Rattus norvegicus: one gene and its partner. The protein of the gene in region 2 purifies or fractionates together with the protein of the main gene of each other region. This does not show direct contact. Links are inferred from orthologs where the notes say so. Each region holds a gene or a part of one and is shown on either strand. Other genes may lie near its edges. The genes, in order: Cdkn2aip and Xrn2.

Region 1 (9,458 bases), on a different chromosome or scaffold from region 2:
CGAGTACATTTGACATCTATGAAACTACAAACAATTGATGAGTTTGGCCATGGAACAATTACAGCTTTACCACTTATCAGGCTTTTTTTTTTTTTCCCCATGTACCTCTGGTTTTGTTTTGTTTTGTTTTTTGTTTCCTATCTTAAGTCCCCAGCCCCTTCCCCATTTACCAGGCTTTTACAGCAATAGCTGCTGCACTATCTTATCTATGCCTCGAAAGTTGAGAACCCTCAAGAACAGATTCCAAAGTTACTGTTCTTTCATTACACTGTACTGATGAATTATAAAATACATATTTTTGTTCTAAATCAAAGATCTTGAATGTTCTTTTTTGCAGGTTTGTCTATGTTAAGGTGTATATTGATCTCAAGTCTCTCAGATGCTCTCTATCTTACAAATGGAGGCAGTCTTTTGGTGCAGCTCCCTGATTCCACCTGTTTTCCCAGTGCGGCAATTACAGATGGGCCATCATTGTTGCCCAGCGTTTACATGGAAGCAACAAATACTCAACTCACTGAGCCAACTCCTAGCCACGGGGATCTTTAAATTTTTATTAAGAGCATGTTGTACAAATAAACACTATAACCATAGGAGTGGTCAAACAGCTGTAACCCCAACATGAAACAGAGAAAGGAACGCAACGCTACTTTCCAAGTTCAAGACCAGCCAGAACCATATAACACCCTATCTCTCAAACACCAAGAACATAGATCATCAGTTTTCATTTATTTTTGTTTTATGGAAGGTACTGGAAATTCAACTTAGGGCCCTGTATGCTAAGTAAGCACTCTATCACCTACCCTTTTCTTGGCAGGGTTCCTCAGAGATCTGCCTGCTTCTGCCTTCTGAGTGTTGGGATTAAAGACATGCCCCACCACTGTCATAAGACTTATAGCTCAGAACCTGTTTACTTTTCTCAAACTGCTCTATAGTCAAACACTCAAAGTCCTCAGCTCTTCTTGACTTGGCCTCTCAAGAAGTTGAAATTATATGTCTATGAGTGCACGCACTCCTCCACATCAAAAGATTACTATTATTTAAAGAATTTGCTTAAAACAAACCATTTTAGGAAATTACCAAATCATCTAGTATGATGTATTTCAGAAATTTATTTATTCTACTTTTTGGCTCACTTTTTTGTAAGCATTAGTTTACAAAGTTTACAACTCACTTATATTATTGCTTTCCACAATATATAAAGGTAGCCCATTTACAGAATATAGATTTTGCTCTGGTATCCAATGAACCATTCTCAAAAACAAATAATTTAAAAATGTCATCTGGCAAATTACAAACATCCCTGATTATTTCAGTTCAAGCTCAGGAAACTAAACATCTTTATTATTCTTAAACTACAAAATAATTTTTATACACTTAAACTGTGCTTATGTCCAACCTTCCAATACCAATACAACTAGTGAATGAGGTCTTTTTACTGCATACTATCTCCATTACTGTTTGGTGTGCAGCTCCTAGAAAGCCAGAAGGCCCGAAGTCATATACCTTAGACCAGACTTTTAATTAAGAGTCACCTAAGATACAGATTTTACTTCATTACTAACAGATGCAGTCCACACGAATACACAATCATTAAAGAACTGACCATGGCTCTCTAGTCTTCTCCACATTCTTCTGAAATCTGCAAATACAAAAACCACCTGGTTCTAGATATAAACTTTAACTTCCCTATTTATAAAAATGTATATTATATACTATGAAAACTACTTGGTTGTAGTTTACTTTGAATAGTAGTGAGGAGCCAACTTACAAGACTTAGTTATGACTTCAGGGTGGGAAAAAAAAAACACAACCTCTTGAAAAGGTAAAATAGCTTAAAGCATTTAATATCTAAACAAATCAGTCTGTTCATAGTAGTCACAAAATATGCTTAATATAGAAATCAACATTATGTTTTAAGAAAGTGTAAATTGCTTTTTACCTCAAAACATAAATTAACCTGCTCAAGAATCTGCAGCGGTCAAAATCATGGTGAATTTTAAACAATTTCAGAATAAAATAACAATAAGTACTTTATACTGCTTTATATCTAAAAAAAAAAAGTTTACAGCATCTTCTCATGAAAATAGTTTGAGACAATTACTCTTATTCTTTAAGAGATGTTCAACATTATGAGTAACATTCTTAAAACCTTAAGTTGTATATTTTTCACACATTCAAATACTGTGGTCCCCTTTCTTTTATATGATTTAATCAAGTTAGAAAAAAAAGCATGGTAGACAACTTAATACATTTCTACCAAATTGGTAGTAGTACAAAAATTTTAAGATTCTACAGAACTACACATCGTACCTAATATATCATTAAAAATAGAAGACAGTATTTTCCTCAGCAAATAAAACAGCACACTGGTATGCTGTCAGTGTATACCCTTTAATATGCACTGTCATTCATAAATTATTTACAGCTCTACTTTAATGAAGAGAACTAGAATTTAAATTTTCTGCAAAACTGGAAAAAAGCAATATAAAATCTGTGAAAGCCAGTGTTTCATATAAAAGCCAGTTTTTCTCTTCAAACCCCAGGTACTGGATGCAGTGATACCTTGGGGAATCACAGTAATTCTTGAGGATGTTTCAGTGCTGGAGGTAAGTTTACAGGTCTTGATTCTTCATCGAGGAGTACTAGATCTTCTATCTCATTGCCTCTGTACTTCCTTTTACAGATCTTTACCACCACCTTCTTCTTGAGAAATAACTTAAGTGCCTCTCTTGATGCGACTGCTTTTGCATTTTCTTTGCTTTTCCCACAGCCAGTGCCCAAATACACCGATTTACACCTCAATTCACATACAATACTTTCTTGAGAGCTCTTATTTTGAGGCAGATCTGCCAGTTCTTTCAGTGGGACAAAAAACACATCTAGTGTTGCTTTCAGAGCCTCAATAGCTGCATTTAGCAGCTCGCCATGATTCACATTGGGGCTAAAGCCACCAACTGCTACCAACTTCCACGCCACTGTCTTATACAGTCTATTGAAGAAAGGCTGCTTCTGCTTTATGTCTTCATTGGTTAACTTCCGACAAGTGAATTTGACAGAACTCTCACTGGACTGTGAGGTACTTTTAGAAGGCAACTGTGAAGTGCTACTCTGAGAACTACTCTTAGAAGCTAGCTGAGACATGCTTCCTAAGGAAGTGCTTTTGGAAGCCACAGATCCACTGCTCTGGGAGCTGCTTTTGGAAGCTAACAGTGATGCAGCTACCTGAGAAGTCAGTAGTGATGTATTTGTTGAACTGCTCTTGGGCATTAGTAAAGAGGTGCCTGATGAGGAACTGTTTTTAGAAACTGATGATGAAATGTTTGCCTCTGAACTAGCTTTGGTTGTTAACCCACTCGAAGCTGTCTCTGAACTAGACTTACAAGACAGTAATGGCAACTCTACTTCTGAGCTTCCGGAGGAACCCAACAAGGGCACCTCAATCTCTGAGCTGCTCTGAGAAACTGAAACTGAAGAACCTTCCAAAGCATTCTTTCTAGGTGATCCACTATGCTGTCTGGAATCAGTGGATTTCGTCACATGACTATTCAGACTGGATTTTAACAGTGAAGAAACAAAGGATGCTGAACCATGTTTATCTGGAGCTTCTGGCTCAGAAGCTTTTCCAGACCCTGCTGATGTTACCTGAGAGGAATTGCTGCTGCTTTGGCTGCAAACAGATCTATCGCCTTCACTTGTGGAACTATTCTGATGGGAGACACCAGAGTTGCTCCGAGCTGAGGTCCCACTACTCTCTGATTTGGTGGACGACCCCTTGGATCCTGAACTGTTTTCTTGCTGAGCTGAACGATCTGTTTTGGCAGATTTTTTCCCATGATCTCGCTCAACTGAAGAATTGTTTTTTCCTTCTATGGATCGTTTTTTGGATGGCTCTTCTACCCCTTCTAGAAAGAAGAGAAACACAGGTATTTTACTAGGAGTCCCCACAGACATGTCGATCAACAAAACATTCATTTAAAAAGCACAGAGAGCAGGGTGGCAGCACATGCCTTTAATCCTGGCATGCAAGAACCCCGAATTTGAGGCCAGCCTGGTCTACAGAGCAAGTTCCAGGATAGGCTGGGCTACACAGAGAAACCCTATCAAAACAAAACAAAAACAAGCAAACAACAACAACAACAAAAGCACAAAATAATTTCAGAAAGTAGTTTTTCTTAAAGTATGGAACAACTTCATTAATGTATTAAAACAGGTATTGTTAATATTAATTTCTAATATTAAATTAAGAGCATCAGACATCAGACTTGAACATCTAAAACAGTTAAAGTAAATTATCAAATTCAGCACCTAAGACAGACAGAAACACAGTTTACCTTTAACATTTCAGCTAGATTAATACAGCATACACACTCTGGATTGTTAAAAAGAAATTAGTAATGACAATAATTCCTAATTTTATCAAGCTTATTTTCTAAACTCCTATGTATGTTCACATCTATGATCTGCTAACCATTGCTACTCGATATCCCTCTTTTCTTCACCTTGGCAACCAGTTCGTCTCGTGTGGTATGGATTGGAGCATCTGTCACTTTGATGCCTTCAGCCATACTAAGAATTTTATCCATAACTTTTTGAGGGTACCTGAAAAAGAAGCAAAAGTCGCTCTCAAGAAGTGTTTTTCGAAAAGTACTGGCAGTGTGAGGAATGCAGGCCCGCGGAGACTGCATTTCCTGGTCGCGATCAAAGTGTACGAACCGCGAGACAACTTTTGTTTCCCGAGATGCCAGGGACAAATGTCCTAGGGCTCGGGAGGCGGGTCTGTGCCAGGGAACCTTTAAACTCGGTCTCCCTGGCCGAGAACCGTCAGCTATGCGGCAACAACTCCATCTGCCGGGCGCAAACAACCCGGACACCGGCCAACAGTGAGGTCGAGGCTGCCACGGTCGCCCCTCTTGCCTTCCGAGGACCGACAGTGCCACCGATTCCCGCGCTTCCAAAGCGGCCCTCCCTAGCGACTCTGGTCCCCGCGAGCGCGCCTCGCCCAGCGACAGGGGGCGCGGACGAAGCCCGGAAGGCTGGATAGCGACGCTCCCACTCACCGGCACCCTAGGAAGACATGGTTTGCCCAGGCCATGGAGAAGGAGACGAGCTGCTGTAGCTGCCGACTGCGGGCTCCGCTTTCCGCGTCCGCAGTCTCCTCGGTCGCGGGGACCAGGTCCCCGGCATTGCGAAGCAGAAACTCCCGGCGGTGGCGCCAGTGTTTGTCCGTCTCGCCCTCGCAGCGAAGGGTCTCCACCCAGGCGGCTACTCGCGGGTTCTGGCTCAGGTACTCGGATACCTCCTGCGCCATGTTGGGACCCTGCGAGACGAGGAGAGCGCGAGCGCACAGGGCGGAGCGGCGAGCGGCCCTGTCAGCGCGGCCTGCACCGGCGGCCCTCCCGAGAACGCCCCTCCAGAAGCCCAAACACCAAACAACAGAACAAGGCGCCGACGAACCGCCCACTTCCGCCTGCCGCTGGCTCGCTCCCTTTTATAACCTCGCTGCCGCCGCGCACTCGCGCGCCCTTCCGGCGCGAGCGCGTTCTCCCAGGATGCTTTGCAGCGCCCAGCCGCCGGCGACTCAGCGGTTGCGCCCACCTCGGTCGGAGGGCGCGCCCGGCTGAGGCGGAGCCGAGGCGACTGAGGGGCAGGCGTGCCTCCCGCCCTGAGAGGGCGCGCGGCGCCAGTGCGGCAGCCTCAGCGTTCCGGCGGCGCTTTGTGACGCCGGGCTCTGTTTCCGCCCCCGGGCTTGGCGACCGCGGGCGGAACGCGGAGACCTGGCGTCGCGGGAGTCGCCGCTCCGCCTGCGCGTCTCCGCCCTCGGACACTCGCAGTCGCGCGCGGCCAAAATAAACAAAAGCTGGCTTCCATGGCCGCCCTGCCTCAAGAGCTGCTGTGTACCGGGGGAAGTAAACCCAGTGTCCCGAGGCCAGGAAAGTCTCGGGGCGTTTGGGGACGTGGGGATGGATGTCTTGAGCGGCAGGGGCAATAAAAGTACTAAGCACGAATGTAACTTAACCGGCAAGCACAAGCTACTCCTCCAGTTTATTTAAAGCCAGACGACCTTTGCGCCTGCGCCGCACGATCTGGCTTGGTTTCCGCGGTTTCTTAGGTTCCTGGTTCAACCCAGACAATACCTGCTTCCTCTCCCCTAACGTTTTTGGTCCTCAAGCTATAAACAACCCTATGTCAACTGCTTTTAGCTGTTAACGCCGGTAGGACCAAAGTGGAAATGTATCTGCTTATCTCGTCTGCCCGGCCTCTTCCCTCAAGAGCAACTGTGCTTTTGCACTTTTATGTGTTCCATGTTTTTGCTTGCATGTCTGCCTGTGCTTTATGTACATGTCTGATGCCCTTGGACGCAAGAGGGCTATGGATCTGGAGTTGAAGTGATGCGGGATTTTGAGCGCCGTGTGGGTTCTGGGAATTGAACCCAGGTCTTCTTGAAGATCTGCGGGTACGGCGGAGCCAACTCTCCAACCCGTGGTTTTTTAGTTGCTGGTGTGTTTATTAACATTTCCAAGTTTAGTTATATGTATAATATTAGTGAAATCAAAGCATGAGTGTAATAATATGAATAGTGATAAATTATGTGATTGAATTTTCCTCCAATAGATGTTTGCGTTTCTGTTGTGAGAATGCTTAAATCAGAATGATTGGGGTTGGGGATTTAGCTCAGTGGTAGAGCGCTTGCCTAGGAAGCGCAAGGCCCTGGGTTCGGTCCCCAGCTCCGAAAAAAAAAAACAAAAAAACAAAAAAAACAGAATGATTAAGGAAAAAAATTAAGTCATTTTGTTACTAAACTTTGACAGTTATAAGCCTGTGCCCTAACACGATTCTGCTTCAATTAGCCAATTAGAAGATTCACATTAGTGGGAAGCAGGTAAAGACCTTTAAAGAGACCACACAGGCAAGGGGAGACAAAGACGGCTGCAGTGTGCACTCTGGAGCAGAGGCAGGCGGATCTCTGAGTTGAGGCCAGCTTGGTCTACAGAGCTAGTTCCAGGACTACACTAAGAAACCGTTTTCCAAACCCTGCCCCCTCCCGCTAGATGAAGAGAGGAGAGGAAGGGGGGGTGTGGAGACAGGAGGAGAAGGGGGAGGGGAGAGGAGAGTAGGAAAGAGGATGAGAGAGAAAAACAGAGAGAGAGAGAGAGAGAGAGAGAGAGAGAGAGAGAGAAATGAGGGAGATGGATACTGACACCCACCCGACCCCAAGTGAGTCTTTCAGACCCTGAAATGAGATTCACGTTTAAATAAAAGGCTAGGGATGTGGACATTTAAGATATGAGTCATCACAAATGGGATCTCATAAAACTGCAAAGCTTCTGTAAGGCAAAGGACACTGTGGTTAGGACAAAACGGCAACCAACAGATTGGGAAAAGATCTTTACCAATCCTACAACAGATAGAGGCCTTATTTCCAAAATATACAAAGAACTCAAGAAGTTAGACCGCAGGGAAACAAATAACCCTATTAAAAAATGGGGTTCAGAGCTAAACAAAGAATTCACAGCTGAGGAATGCCGAATGGCTGAGAAACACCTAAAGAAATGTTCAACATCTTTAGTCATAAGGGAAATGCAAATCAAAACAACCCTGAGATTTCACCTCACACCAGTGCGATTGGCTAAGATCAAAAACTCAGGTGACAGCAGATGCTGGCGAGGATGTGGAGAAAGAGGAACACTCCTCCATTGTTGGTGGGGTTGCAGACTGGTAAAACCATTCTGGAAATCAGTCTGGAGGTTCCTCAGAAAATTGGACATTGAACTGCCTGATGATCCAGCTATACCTCTCTTGGGCATATACCCAAAAGATGCCTCAACATATAAAAGAGACACGTGCTCCACTATGTTCATCGCAGCCTTATTTATAATAGCCAGAAGCTGGAAAGAACCCAGATGCCCTTCAACAGAGGAATGGATACAGAAAATGTGGTACATCTACACAATGGAATATTACTCAGCTATCAAAAACAACGAGTTTATGAAATTCATAGGCAAATGGTTGGAACTGGAAAATATCATCCTGAGTGAGCTAACCCAATCACAGAAAGACATACATGGTATGCACTCATTGATAAGTGGCTATTAGCCCAAATGCTTGAATTACCCTAGATCCCTAGAACAAACGAAACTCAAGACGGATGATCAAAATGTGAATGCTTCACTCCTTCTTTAAATGAGGAAAAAGAATACCCTTGGCAGGGAAGGGAGAGGCAAAGATTAAAACAGAGACTGAAGGAACACCCATTCAGAGCCTGCCCCACATGTGGCCCATACATATACAGCCACCCAATTAGACAAGATGGATGAAGCAAAGAAGTGCAGACCGACAGGAGCCGGATGTAGATCGCTCCTGAGAGACACAGCCAGAATACAGCAAATATAGAGGCGAATGCCAGCAGCAAACCACTGAACTGAGAATAGGTCCCCTATTGAAGGAATCAGAGAAAGAACTGGAAGAGCTTGAAGGGGCTCGAGACCCCAAAAGTACAACAATGCCAAGCAACCAGAGCTTCCAGGGACTAAGCCACTACCTAAAGACTATACATGGACTGACCCTGGACTCTGACCCCATAGGTAGCAATGAATATCCTAGTAAGAGCACCAGTGGAAGGGGAAGCCCTGGGTCCTGCTAAGACTGAACCCACAGTGAACTAGTCTATGGGGGGAGGGCGGCAATGGGGGGAGGGTTGGGAGGGGAACACCCATAAGGAAGGGGAGGGGGGAGGGGGATGTTTGCCCGGAAACCGGGAAAGGGAATAACACTCGAAATGTATATAAGAAATACTCAAGTTAATAAAAAAAAAAAAAAAAAAAAAAAAAAAAAAAAAAAAGAAAATAAATCACCAAAGAATAAGAAAAAAAAAAAAAAAAAAAAAAAAAAAAGATATGAGTCATCAAACAGCGGCATTGTCCAGGCCTGAGTCTCCGAGGCGAGGTGGCTAAACTGTGGTCAGAACTTGAAATCTTTTTCAAGAAGACAAAGTCCCATTAGCTGGAGCCTTTTACTTCTAAGATTTTGGGGGGAAATTCTCATTTTTTAAGGGTCCATTGTTTGAATAGTCTAATAAGAGAGTAAGAGGGGCTGGGGATTTAGCTCAGTGGTAGAGCGCTTACCTAGGAAGCGCAAGGCCCTGGGTTCGGTCCCCAGCTCCGAAAAAAAAAAAAAAAAAAAAAAAAAAAAAGAGAGTAAGAAGCAGGAGCCTTTTAAATTACCTTCATTTCAGCCCAGCCAGTCACCCCAAGCCAAGATCTATGAGCTTGAGGCCAGCCTGGTTAACAAAGTGAACAGGAACAGCCAGGGCTACACAGAGAAAGCCTGTCTGGAAAAAAAAAAAAAAACAAAAAACAAAACACTTTAAAAAAATTTCTTTTTCTACCAGGCAGTTACAATGTTAGATGACACTGAATAAGCAGAAATGCTGTCTTTTAAAATTTATATACATGCTGGAG
Region 2 (9,458 bases):
AGGCAGGAAGTTTTTCTATATACAAATAATGAACATGCTGAGAAACTAGGGGGGAAAACCACATTCACAATAGCTTCAAAAACAAAGCCAATCAATCAACCACCACCCACCCAACAAAAAACATTCCACAATAAATATGATCATGGAAGTAAAAGAACTCTATGAAATTTGGACACTGAGGAGACGCCTCAATAGGTAAATGTGCTTGCTCTGTGAGCATTGAGCATATCTAAATTGAATCCCAGGATCTGTGTATAAAGAGCAAGTCACAGCTATATGTGCCTATAAACCTATAGTTGGGAGGGTAAGACAAGGAAATCATGAAAGTTTGCTAGCCAGTTAGCCTCACCTAAAAAGTGAGCTCCCAATTCAGTGAAAATTCCTCCCTTAAAGAATAAGGAGCTCAATTTTTATTCCATGAGAGGGGTTGGGGATTTAGCTCAGTGGTAGAGCGCTTGCCTAGCAAGCACAAGGCCCTGGGTTCGGTCCCAGCTCCGGAAAAAGAGAGAGAGAGAGAGAGAGAGAGAGAGAGAGAGAGAGAGAGAGAGAGAGAATATAAGGTGGAAAGTAAAAGAGGAAGATACTCAATGTCCTATGTCCTCTTCATGCACAAGCAACCACATACCCATGTGCATGCACTATGCATATAATCCCAAAATAAAAGATAATGCAACACTGAAGAAATTGATGCAGATACTAGAAGACTAAAATCTCCCATGCTTTGGAACAGCCCAAAAGCAATCTACAGATTCCATGTAATCTATTATCAAAGTTTCAATGACAACCTCTACAGGAAAAAAAAATATTCACATGGGAACACAAGAAGCCAAAGTAATACTGAGCATAAAGAAAAACACTAGAGGTGTCAGTATTCTCCATCTCAAATTACACAACAGAGCCGTGGTAATAAAATCAGCAAAGTTATGGACCCCAAAAACAAACATGTTAAAAAAGAAATGAAAGAGGACCCAGAAATAAATAGCAACAGCCATCACGGATTTGGGAAAAGTGCTAAAAACATGCCAGACTTTTCAAGAAACAATGCTGCAGAACTGAGTGTTCACAGGCAAAGGACTCAAACTAGAGTTCTAGCTCTTGTTCATTACAACATAAATTCAAAATAGATCAAAGATTTAAGTATTAGACCTGAAACTCTGCAACTACCAGAAGAAAATATAAGGAAAACACTTTAAGATAAAGCACAAGCAAGGACTCTAATTGTCCAGGAAATTTCCAGGAAGAAAGACAAATGAGAGGGTGAAAAGAAGGCAACGTGGTTGAGAGCACTTGTTGCTCTTCTAGAGGAAGAAAGTTTGGTTCCCAGCACCAACATGGGGGGGGTCACATTTGCCCCAACTCCATCTCTAGGGGGAAATCCAACACCCTCTTGTGGCCTCAGAAGGCACTCATACACACACATGAATAAAAATAAATTTTAAAGAAAAAAATTAACAAGTGAGATTCCATGAAATTAAGTCTCTGCATTAAAAAAAAGCAAACAATTGGTAGTGAGAGCATACAGAATGAAACATTCCTGCCAGTTAGTTATCTGATACACACATAATCCAATAAATAAATAAGTGAAATAATACCTTTTAAAAGATAAAGTGGCCAATAATACAAAGAAAAACCCTTAGTCATCAAGAAATGCAAATCAAAACTACAATGAGATTTCACCCCAGTGAAAATGACTATCACATGAAATCAAGCATCATATGCTGGCACAGATACTGGGGAGTGCTGACACACACTGCTAGAAGCAAAGTGTGTGATGGCAGCCATTATGAAAAAGAGAAAAGGAAGAAAAAGGCAGAAAGGTAGAATTACCATATGATATGATCTAGCTGTGCCTATATGATTGTGCATGCCTACAATCCCAGCACCCAGTAGGATTATGAGTTCCTGGACAACCTGGACTATGTTTCAAAAATGAAAGAGATGGTTAATGCATATCAATTAAGCTCAAAATCTAACTACGGAACATGAAAGTCAATGAACTAGGAAGAATAAATAGCATAGAGGCCAACCCGAAGTTCAACTGGGTAAAGGTGCTTGCTTAGAAGTAAAGAACTGATTTCACGAAGTTGTTCTTTGACCTCCATACACATGCTAAGACATGTCACTGTCTCTCTGCTCTGTCCTGGGAGCAGGTACACTTGTGTCTGTGTACATATATACATACTCAAAAACTTTCACCAGGTGGTGGTGCACACCTTTAATCCTAGCACTCAGTAGGTAGAGGCAGATAGAACTCTGAGTTTAAGGCCATCCTGGTCGACAGAGCAAGTTCCAGGACAGCCAGGGCTACATGGAGAAACCCTGTTGAATAGAAGAGGAGAGGGGGAGGGGAAAGATAACTGGGGGGTGGGGTGGGGAGTAGGCTCGAGAAAGCTCACTCTCACCCATATTCTTCTAAAGGACACTAATTGCTCACACAGAGACAGAAGTCAATGAAGGTAGGGAAGTAAGGGATTGGGGGGGGGGGGGCCCGCACAGGGATAGTATGGGGACACCTAAGAAAGAAGGATGTAAAAGGGTGGATGGGATCTAAACATATTGTGTAAATGTATACAAATGGCACAATGAAAACACTGTGAACAACTAATACATGCACACACAAACTGACCAGTTCTTAAGAATGAAAGGGGAGGGTCATAAGTTAGACACAAGGCCTTCCCAGCTTTCATATTGGTATGATATTAGCTGAATAAGTAACTCAGAAATATTGAAATTTTTCAAAAATTGGAAAAGTAATTGAAAAGAATCTTCCCCTTTTGATTTCCTTCTCCATAACAGGCACCTAACAACCTAGTATCGATCCAGTGCTCAGAACAGAGTCTGGTGCATGGTAAATGGTACCAAAATCTGGGAAATACATACCACAAAACCCTGCCAGACCTAGCAGCCAGCAAGCGGCTTTAAATTCCAGCACTGGGGAGGTAGAGGCAGGCAAATCTGAGTTTCAGGCCTAACAGAACTACATAGTGAGACCTTGTCTTAAAAGAAAATGTTTAAATTTTCATCAACAATAACAGCTAGAAAGAGTGTTTCTAACATCTTCATGGGAACTGGTTTTCCAACTTGGAGTCATAATCACTCGGAGAAAATAAAGGTATTTCAGATCACACAGTGGCATTTCCTAAAAAGTCAATTCAAAAATAAAAACCAAAGATAGCTTTAAGCCAAGAGAGATGGGCTATTCTGCAAACTGTAATTCTCGGGAAGCATCTTTCCAGGAAGCATATTGAAAAAAAGTGCTGGGAAGAAAATAGCTGTAAAGACAACTCCAAGCTGGGAATGTCAGTACACAGGAGATTGCCTGTGTGTGAGCGTCTGGAATTTGTATCTCCAAAGGAAAAATTAATACTTAAAAGAGGCGCAATGGAAAAAAAAAAAAAAGGACTTGACAGAATGCCTGATAAAATAATTTAGATGAGGTATAAAGTGTACCCAAACTAAGGGTGAGAGGGACAGGGTAAGGGAGGAGCTAGCTTTAGTAAAAGATAAGCAACCTCAAACTACAATCACAGTATAAAACAGCCAACAACACCACTTCTCTCGCAGCTTGTATGGTCAAAGGTTTGACAATCTTGAACGAGAACTAAAAAGTACAGGGGACCAAAGAATTAAGACAGCTAGAGTTGGGGGGTGGGGGTGGGGAAGCTAACATCAGTCTTAGAAAGTAGAAAATGATACTTCGTTTGGCGATAGAATTTTTGTTTTGCGAGAGGGTCTCACTATATAAGCCTTAATTTGCTTTGAACTCTGTGTAGATCGGGCTGAACTCCATAACTCAAGCCTACCTCTCTCCCAAGTGCTGGGACTAAATGTATATGCCATGCCTTGACCCGATATACGTTTAAACCAGTTCTCCATTAAATTACAAAATTTACCATCAGATACAAGAATTAGCATTAGAAAAACGGGTGGTGGTGAATAAATAGCTAATTCCTCTTCTACCCAAAATTATATAGACCTAAAACAGATAAATCAAACAACCATATTCAGAGACAGTGCCAAAACAGTCCAAAGCGTCTGTCTTTCGAGAGAGAAGACTGGACGGAAAAGAACGGAAGAACAACTGTGGCTTTCCCTTTGGAACGTCCTCCCAGGGGAAGGCAAAGTTTTACAAAGGAAATAATAATTCAGCTTAGCAATTTGTCTTTTGAGAACAGAAAAAAATACTAGGAATGTCACCAAAACAAAGCTTTTGGTTTCTTCTAAGACACGAAGTAAGAAAGTAAATAACTTAAGCAGGAGAAATAGGTTCTTGGAAGGAGGCGGTTCTAAAGACGAAAGTGGGAGGGGACACATGTGCCCGGAACTTTTCCAATCCAGAAATTCTAATTGAGAGTACAAAGTCGAACTCGGACAGAATTACGCGAACGACAAAAGCAAAACTCACGAATCGGAACAGCTATAAGTCTGCCTGTGAAGTAGCAAACTAACACCACTCGAGAAGACAGGAAGTGAAAACAGCGAGCTGCCCGGCAGTCTTAAGACAGCGAAGCCCCCGCGGGGAGACAGACCGCTCCTCCATCCTAGTCCTTCGTAACTAGCACGGTTAACTGCAACAAATGGCCAGTCTCCGGTGGAAAACAAGCGATCCGACCACCGGGAATGCCGGGCTCAACAAAGTGGACCAGGCAGCGGTCCCTACCCAGCCAACCCTGCTGCCCGCGTTAGGGGGCTGACCAGACAGGGCGCCCTTTCGAACTCTGAGCGGCGCGGGCAGCCGAGGAAACAAAGCCGTGGGCGGAGTCTGGGGTACCCGGCTTGGCAGTCGGGGGAGGAGCCGTCCAAGCCCCTACAGACCCCTACTCCCCCTTGCTTCGCTCAGAGCGCCTCCGGAACCGCGAACCCGCGAAGCGGCCCGCGAGGCTCCCTGGGGCGGGCGCCTGTTCCCGAGGGCCGCGGCCTAGACGTGTCGCGCTGGGTCCCCACTCCGGCGTACTGGCCGCCTCCTCACCTTCTCCTCCACGCAATTGACAATGATGGACGGGTACTTGCGGCTGAGCCAGCGGAAGAACGCCGGGACTCCCATGACCAGCGGGCAGCTCGAAGCAGCAGCCGGGCAGCGGGAGAGTGTAACCAACGAGACTGGCGGGAGCGGCCAGCCGAGGGCACTTCCTCCCACGTGCGTCCAGCGACCGGAAGTTACGTCATTCCACCACCGCGAGGGAAGCAGGGAAAGGAGCTCGGTTAAGTGAGAGTTCGTTTGAACTGCACAAGCGGTGGCCGGTTTGGACGGGCTGTAGGTGGTGAGACCTAAAGCCTTTGAGAGCTGGACTCCGGGCTGACGCCTTCGCCCGCAGTAGTCCTCAGAGCACGGGCCACAGTAGGCCCGCGGCAGCAGTTCCTTGCTGGTGTGGTCAGGCTTTGCAAAGGCGTGGCCTATCTGACTTCCTTTCTCACAATCAGTCTTGGGCTGAATAGAACCATCTACACTCTAGTTTCCATTTCCTGGTTTCTCTCATTTTTTTTTAAAATGCAACTGTGCCTGGCAGAACTATGAAAAAGCATCATAAAGTGTCCTACAAATTTTTTTAAAATCTGCTTTTGCATAAGCAACTTTTCAAAATACGTTTAAGATTTATTTTTAATTATGTGAATGTGTGTATATCTACATGTGGTTATGTGAACGAGTGATGGTACCTATGGAGGCCAGAGGCATCAGATCCCCTGGAGCTGTCATCTGCCTGCTGTGACTGCCAGAAGTCAAACTCTACTCCTTTGGAAAAGCAGCATGAACGCTTTACTGCTAAACCATCTCTCAACCCGACGAGTCACTTTAAATAGTTGCAGAATCTAGCTAGAATTTGGTGTTAAACAACCTTGTTGCTATGCTCAGTGTATCAACATTTCCCAATATCACGTTCTAGCATTTGTTGAGTACCTATGATGTGCTAAGGCAAGGAACTAAAGAATTATCTTATCACCAGTTGAGCCGTCTGTGCTGGCTGGCTGTGTCATCCTGGTGACTCCAGTGTGAAAGAATTCTCCAAACAGGGAGGGGAAAAAAAATTATTAGATTCAGTGCATACAGCAGGCAAGAAAGTAAAAGCTGGAAGGGGCTGTTTTGTGGAAGCATGTTTCTCTGTGGGCCTTGAGGCAGTGATTGTTTGCCTGAGTCGGGCACAGTGTAACAACTCCACCCATTCTGTGGTTTTGCTGTACCATTTTTTTGTAAAGCATAACACATAAAGTCAGGTTGTCAAAGAGTTAAATCACTTGCTTATTCATACTGCTTGTATTTCACTTCAAGCAAGGATCATTTAATCCTCTGCTCTCAAACCAACGTATTTTTAACCCTTGTTTTCTGGTGGCTTCAAATGTGCCCTGTCTATCCCCCACCCCACCCGAAGCTTATGAAAAAAAAGTCTTGAAAGAGGAGGTATTCGTGCCCATTTGCTCAAGCCTGAAAGTCTCTTCCCTGAATCCCCCTTGGCCTGACAAATCACACTCAATGACAAAGGCTCACCTTAAGAGGCCTCTGTAAAGGGTTTCTCTGCTACCTGTCAGGCAGTAAATGTTGTCCCTCCCTCAATGGTTTAATGACTTCATTTGAATGCTACTGTGGAACTTAGCCTATGTTTAAGAATAGTTATATATGTGCATATATATGTGTTTGTTCTAGAATATTTTTTCTATGATGAAAATTCCCATTTTAATTGGAAATAGTTCCTTCTTAAGAGTTTGGGTCCAGGGCTGGAGAGATGGCTCAGTGGTTAAGAGCACCGACTGCTCTTCCAGAGGTCCTGAGTTCAATTCCCAGCAACCACATGGTGGCTCACAACCATCTGTAATGGGATCTGATGCCCTCTTCTGGTGTGTCTGAAGATGGATATAGTGTACTCATACACATAAAATAAATAAATCTTTAAGAGTTTGTGTCCTCTGGAATGGGCTATGTTCTTATGTGAACACAAATTCATAGGCAGTTGGGGAGGAGCAGGCAGCTTGCTACATTGAGTTCCCCAGAGTTGATCACAAATGGTTTTGAACTTTGAAATGTAAAAAATAAGTCAAAAGCTGTATATGGTAATAAGCATCAAAACATCCTGGTCTGACAAAGAGGCATACTCAAGTAATCCTAGCACTGAAGAGGAGGGTAGCCTGGGTCCAAAAAACAAAGGAAACATACAGAAACGTATGCTACTCTATGATGTTCGTTTGGAAATCCTGCTCATCCCCAGCTCAAGGTGGGAAACCCCATTTGCCCTCCTACCCCATCTTTAGCCCCTCCCACACAGAAAAATCCCCCACCTGCTTGGAAAGCACTCTAGGCTAACAGGTCACCTCCCCTTCTCTCCGTGTTTCCCACAACTCACCCAAGAGGGCCTGCCCTGGGACTCAGTTTTTGACTATAATGTGGACACAATCGCAGCTCCTAGTTCACACATCATTATCCAGTGCCCAAGACCCGTAAAAAACCCCTTGCTTTAGCCTAGATAGATGCTCGACTTCACTGAGCTCCACCTATGAGACCAGTGAAGCTGAGAGCTGCCTCCTAATAAACCTGCCTTTGGCTACTTTGAATGCGGTTTAACCTGGCCCATATCTGCATCACTGAAGGAGAGGAAAAGCCGATCATCCCTCAACAGGTCTAAGTCTAATTCCAGGGGGGTTTTGAGCTAAAAACCTCTCCTTGTAATTTGATTGATGAGTGTGGCTTGTATGAGATGTTCCCCCACAGTCTCAGGCATTTTGAGTGCTTGGTCCCCAGTTGGTGGCCATTTTTGGAGAGGTAGGTCTGACCTTGTTGGAATGAGTGCGTTACTAGAAGCGGGCCTTGCGAGTTTCAAAAGCCAGACACCATTCCCAGTTTGCTCTCTCTGCTTCTTGCTTGCAGGTTAAGGCAGGAGCTCTCAGCTTTCTGTGCCAGCTGTCATGGCTGCCTGCTGCCATGCTTCCCAATCTCGATGGTGATGGATTCTTCTTCCTCTGGAACCATAAGCTCAGATAAACCCTTCTATAAACTTCCTTGATCGTGGTGTTTTATCTAAAAAATAAAAAGGTGAAACCCAGACAGTGGCAGGAGGGTATGGACTAAACCTTGTAACACTTTCTTCAACCCAGTGTGTCCTAGGAAGTCTTTTAATATTCAAGCTTGAATTTGTCTTGTATAAATTAAAGAAGAGACTGAGTCTGGTGTTGAGTCACTGTGGTCTGGAATCACAAGTGTGGGCAATGAACAGCTCAAGAACAGAAGAGGTGATGAGAGTTTGTGTTGGAAATGCACACAAACATTGAAACAGACTATAGGCTTCTACAGATTTAGAAGCCAGAGGGTCGGAGACATGTTCACCAAGATTTCATGGGCCAGAGGAAAGCTTTCCGCTGACATCTGAATTACATTCCTGTAAAGGATAATATGTAAAACAGTGTTCATTTTTTCCTTATGCCATGTAAATCTAGATTTTTTTTAAAAACTAAAAGTTACTAAACTGCCATGAAAATATAGTTCTCATAATATGACAATAAAGGCAACTCTTTTTTTAAAGATTTATTTATTCATTATATATAAGTACACTGTAGCTGTGTTCAGACACACCAGAAGAGAGCATTAGGTTTCATTACAGATGGTTGTGAATCACCATGTAGTTGCTGGGATTTGAACTCGGGACCTTTGGAAGAACAGTCAGTGCTCTTAACCCCTGAGCCATCTTTCCAGACAAGACAACTCTTTTTATTTTTTTTTATTTTTTTTAATCCCCCCCCCAAGACAACTCTTTTTAAAAGCTATTGATTCATTTGCTGACTGCCATGGTCTGGGTTGCCACCCATGGGACAAATTTCACTTGGTGCATCTCAGGCCCACTCATCTCCATATCCCGCAGTATCTGCCCTCCACCCTTCCTTGCAACATCCTCCCCCAAAATAAAATAATAATAATAATAATAATAATAATAATAAGAAGAAGAAGAAGAAGAAGAAGAAGAAGAAGAAGAAGAAGAAGAAGAAGAAGGGGAAGGGGAAGGGGAAGAAGGGGAAGGGGAAGGGGAAGGGGAAGAAGGGGAAGGGGAAGGGGAAGAAGGGGAAGAGGAAGGGGAAGGGGAAGAGGAAGGGGAAGGGGAAGAAGGGGAAGGGGAAGGGGAAGGGGAAGAAGGGGAAGGGGAAGAAGGGGAAGGGGAAGAAGGGGAAGGGGAAGAAGGGGAAGGGGAAGGGGAAGAAGAAGAAGAAGAAGAAGAAGAAGAAGAAGAAGAAGAAGAAGAAGAAGAAGAAGAAGAAGAAGAAGAAGAAGAAGAAGAAGAAGGGGGCTGGGGATTTAGCTCAGTGGTAGAGCGCTTACCTAGGAAGCGCAAGGCCCTGGGTTCGGTCCCCAGCTCTGAAAAAAAAAAAAGAAGAAGAAGAAGAAGGAGAAGAAGAAGAAGAAGAAGAAGAAGGAAAGTGTCCCACGCGCGACTTCTTGCCAGCAAGAAACACGCGGGTACATAGAAATCCTTACTGTGACCAAC

Evidence for each region.
Region 1: the proteins of Xrn2 (region 2) and Cdkn2aip purify together in Homo sapiens (affinity purification with mass spectrometry; 4 studies listed by BioGRID and IntAct, with this or other methods). This does not show direct contact. The link is inferred for Rattus norvegicus from reciprocal best matches to the Homo sapiens genes XRN2 and CDKN2AIP.

What each region holds. Positions count from the first base shown.
Region 1 is NC_086034.1:51,265,125-51,274,582, reverse strand, and holds Cdkn2aip (CDKN2A-interacting protein), read right to left. Parts: upstream 5,652-9,458; 5' UTR 5,309-5,651; coding exon 5,058-5,308; intron 4,600-5,057; coding exon 4,469-4,599; intron 3,903-4,468; coding exon 2,572-3,902; 3' UTR 2,373-2,571; downstream 1-2,372. UniProt on the Homo sapiens protein: Regulates DNA damage response in a dose-dependent manner through a number of signaling pathways involved in cell proliferation, apoptosis and senescence.
Region 2 is NC_086021.1:154,885,992-154,895,449, reverse strand, and holds the start of Xrn2 (5'-3' exoribonuclease 2), read right to left. Parts: upstream 5,090-9,458; 5' UTR 5,045-5,089; coding exon 4,970-5,044; intron 1-4,969. UniProt on the Homo sapiens protein: Possesses 5'->3' exoribonuclease activity. May promote the termination of transcription by RNA polymerase II.